2 linked regions of the Danio rerio genome follow. The protein of the gene in region 2 purifies or fractionates together with the protein of the main gene of each other region. This does not show direct contact. Links are inferred from orthologs where the notes say so. Each region holds a gene or a part of one and is shown on either strand. Other genes may lie near its edges.

Region 1 (2,322 bases), on a different chromosome or scaffold from region 2:
ATGCAATGGAACAGACAAATGACAAACACTAGTGCAAACTAAACAGTAGACAATTTCTAAAACTAAAACAAATGGCTAAAAGCACCCTCTTACCTGGGGCCAACTGAAACATGCAGCCTTTTGTGTTAAAGTGCAAATTAAACCGATAATTGCTTAGCAAATATGTGATGGTTCACTATTTTGAAAAAAATTACTGAAATAATTCAATGGGGCAGTAACTTAGTTATTTTGAATATTTACAATATGTTGCCAAAAATACATAAATATGAATTAGAGTCACTGTTTTTGAAATCTTTTTGAATCTGTTTTTGAGTCATGTTAAAAGTACAAAACTGGTTTTATTTACACAAAGCATATACATATACAAATAGATAAAAATAAATGCAATCAGATTATAAAGTACACAAAATGCTGTATTATTCTTATACTGTTTTGATGCTTGATGCTAAATTCCTTTTCAACTTAAATCCATAGGCTTACATGAACATATGTACAAGTACGTTTAAAACCATTCTATCCAGCTCTTTTATATGTGCGTACAAGTGGAAATTACCTGCTTGCTTTGAAAGCTTTGAGTTTCTGTACAAAGAAGGACTCCAGGAACTCCGCACACTGGTAAAAAGGCGAGTCGCTGGGGTTGTAGTAGCGGCAGTTGTCGAAGATTTTGGTCATGTCCGCTACGAACTCTGTGAGTTTGCTGTAAAAGCGTTTCTGTATCCTCTCTTCCATTGTAGAAAGGTCTGCATGCAACGGAAATGCAAGGAGAGAAGAAAATAATACAACCAATTATTAAAACAAAGATACATTATTAAAAATTAGTACATGAACACAATAAATTATCAAAATGGTGAAATTCTTTTCAAAGACCTTATAAGTCACACATTTGTCATATTTGACTGCTAGCTGACAAGAAGTCTAGTCACTGCTGAAAATGGTTGATATTTCCTAATAATTCTCTCATCATTAGGTAGGTAACAGCACAAAGATGATCATTTTTCAGCTTCAGTGATTTTAACAGCATTTTTTTTTACCAAGGTACACATCGCATGATAAGTGTTTGGCTCTCCAATAAATACTGCTTCTCAACAGTTTTGAAAGCACACATAGGTTGATAGATCACACAAAAATTTAATTCTGTCTTCAATTATTGCTCCACTTGTTCTAAACCGGTTTGAATTAATTTTTTTATGAACTCACTTTTTCCATGAGGAAAAGCAGCCATAGATTTCCATAGTATTTTCTGTTCCTACTATGGATGTCAATGGCTGCTTTTTTCCAACAAATTTTAGAACACCTTGCTTTGTGTTCAACACAAGAAATTCATAAACGTTTACAAAAACTAGAGCGTGAGTAAATGATAAATGAACATTTTTGGGTGAACTATCAGTTTTAAAAAAAGTTCTACAATTTGATGTTTAAAGAGCCCATATTATGGGTTTTTGAAAATTCCCCTCCATGTAGTGTGTAACACAGCTCTAAGTGAAGCGAAGTATCCAGCTAAGGCTTAAATCTGTAAGAATACAGTGTTTAAAACGGTTGATTCATCTATAAAAGAGTCGACTCATAGTGCTTCAAACGAGTCGCCTTGATACCGACTCATTAGGTGTTTCGCCATGACGTACGAACGAAACCAAGTTATTCACGTGCACGCGCAAACCCGGGAGATTTCAAACCTGAGGCCCCGCCCTCTGACGCAGAAACCCAGACACACACCCACAAACACACGCACACCCACAAACACACGCACACAAACATGCCGGTCGATTGAAGTCACACTGCAGATGGATATATTGAGTCTCTACCCAAAGATGAAACCTCAGCATTATAACCAAGCAGTTGGAAACTTCTGGAAGCTACATGCTACAAAGAATACTTCATCTGAGTTTGTTAAAGGAAGGATCAGTAAAGAGTAACTGATGGACGTCAGGATGGGTTTCTTCCATTTCTCAAGTGTAAGTACGTGCGGTTAAAGTTGTTGCCTCGTTTACTCTTGCTTGCAAATGTATTTAGTTGTGATTTGTTACTTGTAACCGCGTGTACTGTATCAGGTTAACTGGATATTTGATCTTATCGCGTGCAAAGTCACGTTAAAAACGCGACGCGTGCTGTTTGTTTATGGAGCTCCGTGCTAGAGTTCTGCTCCCGCGATTTATTCGGAAATTTATTCCCGCGCCGCAGAAATCTGGCGCGGGGACAGCCGCGGGAATAAATTTCCGAATAAATCGCGGGAGCGGTCGGTAACGGGTTTAATTTGGGACGGGAGCGGGCTGTCTAGCAATATCACGGATATTGCTATGCGAATTAGAAAGAGAGAGTCTGCGT
Region 2 (4,258 bases):
ACCTGAATAAGACAAACACAAAATTTGTCATTTAAATTTGTATTTAAACAATTAACTGCCAAAATCTTTGAAAAAATACAGGACAGAGATTGTGAAGGGGTTAAAATTTGGAGAGAAAAATACACCAAAAAGCTGTCTCTTACCTTGGTCAAAATTAAGCTTTTTAGATGATGAACTATCACCCAAGCCTTCAATATCTACCAAATCACTGTTGGCATCAGAGTCATTCAGTGCACTGAGAGTGACGTCTGTGGAAAAAGCATATCAATACATTAGTTGTATTTGACAATTTTCAATCTGCTAAACAATTTTGCAAGTTTAAAATGAAAAACAAAACAAGTGAATTAAGTAATGCCGACCTGCCGTTTTTGATGACTTAATGCTAGATGGACCTGTGCTTGCCCGCTGTAAGCCTGCAGTCACAACAACTTGAGATGTTGGCACAGCAATGACTTTTGGTGGGGCTGGTGGAGCCATTGAAACCGGCACCTTTTTGGTGCTCTTCTTTGGTGAATTGGTGGATAGAGGGGCTCCACTGTCATCATACAACTTCCTCTTGACTGCTGTTGTCATTTGGGCCCTTATTTTGAGGAGGAAAAAAAAAATTTATTACTCACAAGCTACGCAACTTAAATGTCCTTATTAATTACAAATGTACGATATAATAAAAGACTAATTATTACAGAAGAGCTACACAACTAATGAGTCTTTATTGATGGCAAATGTAAAATATAAATAAAACATCGGGGGTCTTCTTGAGTTTCCGAAAAGAATGGTACTTAGGAACTGTAATGCAAATTTCACCTGAATTTAAGATGCTTTCATTTGTTTACTTTTTCTAAGCCATACGCATAGTAACTTTAAAAAGATTAAACCAAAACAGTTGTCAATTCTACAGACAGGTATTTTTTGCGTAATGTTTCTATCAAAATGAACAGAATAATCTCAGGCTCTAGTCAAGTCTTAATTTAACATTTGACAATTCAAGACCTTTAAGGGACAGTTCAATCAAATTTGCATAATTTAGTTTTGTATTTGGTCCAGACTTACTTGAGTTTTTTTCTTCTATTGAACACAAAAAGAAAACATGAAGAATGTTTGACTTCCATAATTTATTATGATTAAATAAATATATATATAAATAGTTATACTGTGGATTTCAATGGCTAACAGGTTCCAACATTCTTCTAAATATCTTTTGTATGCAATATTTATATATATATATATATATATATATATATATATATATATATATATATATATATATATATATATATATATATAAATGTGTAGCACCACAACAAAAATAATATTTCTGGTCAAACAATACATTTGTTGGTCAAACTCAATAATTCTTTTACACAGTATTTTACCACAGTGTGGTCTTAAAAAGACTTAAAATGTCTACAATTTTTCAAATAAAAATTTCAGGCCTTAAAAAAAATTCTTAAATTCACTGAAATCTTGTGTTGTAGGTCTTAAATCATTTTAAACCAGTGTTAATTTTTTCCATGTAAAGCTACCCAATTGGGCCAACACCCATCCAATCACTATCATTCCAACTCACTGAAAGTTTAAACAAAAGTTTATTTATTAACTAATATTTTGTAAATCTATTTACCAACTCTATTTATATTCATAGACATATGGTTTAATTATCTTAAAATAACATTTGTTTTAATGTGTTTTTTTTATGTTTGGGCCATTAAAAAACCCTTAGTGTTAGCCTTGTGTAAGTCTGAAATTTCATTCAGAATGGTCTTAAAAGGTCTTTAAAAGTCTTAAATATGACTTGACGAAACCTATAAAAGCCCTTGTAAAATGTTTTGTTTTTAAACAGTACTTAGGGTTTATTATTAATCTGTCAATGTTGTGAAACATTTTCTTTTCTGTTTGTATTGGGCTACTGGCAGATATTTGTTCTTGTTTTAATTATAAACCAGTTAGTTTAAAGTTTGCAAAAATACTTGGCCCTGACAGAAAGCAAAAGAAGTGTTTTTGCCCATAATGTCAGTAAAAACAATGGCTTTAAAAATTTAGCAATTACAAATAAAAATAAATGGATAATATTAAAAACTGTTTACATAAGAAAATGGTTTAGTGCTTTAATTTATTGCTAACATTAAAACGTAACAATTATTCGTAAATTGTCAAAGCAGACAAGGGTTAGAAAGCGTTTGAGGGACCCAAGGGAAATAAAAAAAAACATATTTTTAAATGATCAATAAAGTATTTTCCATGTACACCATATGTATTACTTTGAAGAGAAATGTACACGTTATACAACTTTTTACACGTGCCAGTTTAAGTATAAACCATCCAGTCCGAACTGTGATGCAGAACGTGAAGTTAAATAGGCAGCGAGTGTCTCACCCTGCTGGAGTAGTATCTGCTACTGGATGCAGCTGCATGGTCAGCTCTCCCAACTTTGTGAAAGCAGCTCCAGCTGCAGAAAAGATCTCGCCGACCTAAACACAGACATCAAGAAATAAGTAATGTACAGAATCCGCCGAGATCGTAGAAACGTGTATTTAGGAATTGACATTACGATGATAGTTAGCATGTTAGCCAGTAGCTTTATTGACAACACAAAGCATTGAATACAGTAAGCATGGATGCACACTACCAACACAAACATTTAATCGTTCTTTAGGTATCATATTTGTAAACATTTACCTTTGTAGAGGCCGAAGTCATTGTTTTGATTTGCAACCAAGTAATGAGGACTGCGTTTTAGAAAAAGCTAGGACACTTCAAGCTAACGTGGACAGCAACGGCTGATATAAATCGGCAGCGATACTTATTCCTCAATTATTTACATTTTGGAACAACAATAAAACGTGTTCTTTGACTAAGCTGGTAGCATAATTGTAAAGATGATACTGTGTTTCGGCGATGCCCATTGGTTTGAATTCCAGCAATCGGTTGTTATTGGTGCCCACCAGAAATGAACTCGGCACATTCAAAGCTGCGTCGAAACTGCGCAGCTCGTTCGCGCTTTCTCCTCAGGGTTTCCTCGGTCCAAATTCGTAATTTATTAATGCGCAATACAGCCGTACTTGTTTCTGTAAACCCTACGTAGACCGTTGGTTTTAATATTTTCTTGTCAGAGCAGACGGAGGTAATAAGGTTTTATTGGTTTAGATGAAAACCGTGCTATTTAACACATTCATTCGTCTTTGCAATCACAGGCAAGAGTTTTTAAAATGAATAAAATCTTTAAGCAAAATATAAAGTGATTTTATATGATGTTAAATATGCCTTTAACAAATGCGACATTAGTCCAGAACCTCAAAATTTGATATTGAAAGACGGGGAAGATAGTGTTCTGCGTCTTATCTATTCACTACCACTATGTACACTACAACTAAGAAAAACATCGAAATGGAGCTGAGAGAGCATCTATCGCGCATGCGTGATGTTTATACTGGCGTCAGCTGCCCTCTAGTGCACAAAGCAGGCAACTAGAATTCATTTACTTTTAAAAGAAAACACCAACAAGTAGCTTTCCTTTAATTCAATTACTGTTTATTGAGGGATGCGTTGGAAAGCTTCTGATATGATGTCCAGAGAGGGCGGATATGACAAGTAACACCATGCAGAGGATTTGCACGATGCTGTCACTATACATGTTTGGCACTATTTTGACACAGCTGGCAATATCTGGACCAAATGAACAATAAAAACATGAACAACAAGAGCAACTATAACAGTGGTTGCTATTATTATATGCATGTTGTCAAAGTGCAACAAATGCAGAACATAAAATGCTTGCTCAGCAATGTTCTACATATACTTGGGGTAGAATAATAAGGTTTTACAATTTCATATTTTGTCTGTATGATGAAATTTAAGAGGCAGGTATCAGCTGCAATACATTTTCTTAACAATTATGTCATCGGGGAAACCTTTAAACCCATTCTAAAATGAATGCAAATTAGACAAACAACAACATACTAGAAAAAAGATAGCACATGGCACTCTATATTGCTTTGAAGAACCAGTTGATTTGTAGACATTTACAATCCCCATGATCATTCCTTCAATTCGTGACCACTGTTTATAGTCAGTGAAATTGCACGAGTGTAAATGCGTTCAAATAAATATATTCTATATTAAGTGTATAGTGTTATTGCTAACATCAATCTCTATCTCTGGGCTATTATAAAATGCTTTCTTTATAGCTATAAATGTTGTACATTAACAGACATCAGCACTAATATTGTCGGAGGATAACAGTCCATTTTTAAAGCACATA

Evidence for each region. Proteins that work in one complex are often made in the same cells at the same time.
Region 1: the proteins of zgc:92664 (region 2) and bptf purify together in Homo sapiens (affinity purification with mass spectrometry; 5 studies listed by BioGRID and IntAct, with this or other methods). This does not show direct contact. The link is inferred for Danio rerio from reciprocal best matches to the Homo sapiens genes BACC1 and BPTF.

The regions. Positions count from the first base shown.
Region 1 is NC_133178.1:24,124,789-24,127,110, forward strand, and holds part of bptf (nucleosome-remodeling factor subunit BPTF), read right to left. Parts: intron 741-2,322; coding exon 554-740; intron 1-553. UniProt on the Homo sapiens protein: Regulatory subunit of the ATP-dependent NURF-1 and NURF-5 ISWI chromatin remodeling complexes, which form ordered nucleosome arrays on chromatin and facilitate access to DNA during DNA-templated processes such as DNA replication, transcription, and repair.
Region 2 is NC_133182.1:26,105,403-26,109,660, forward strand, and holds the start of zgc:92664 (uncharacterized protein LOC436695), read right to left. Parts: upstream 2,873-4,258; 5' UTR 2,698-2,872; coding exon 2,677-2,697; intron 2,469-2,676; coding exon 2,374-2,468; intron 581-2,373; coding exon 360-580; intron 249-359; coding exon 144-248; intron 1-143. UniProt on the Homo sapiens protein: Component of chromatin complexes such as the MLL1/MLL and NURF complexes.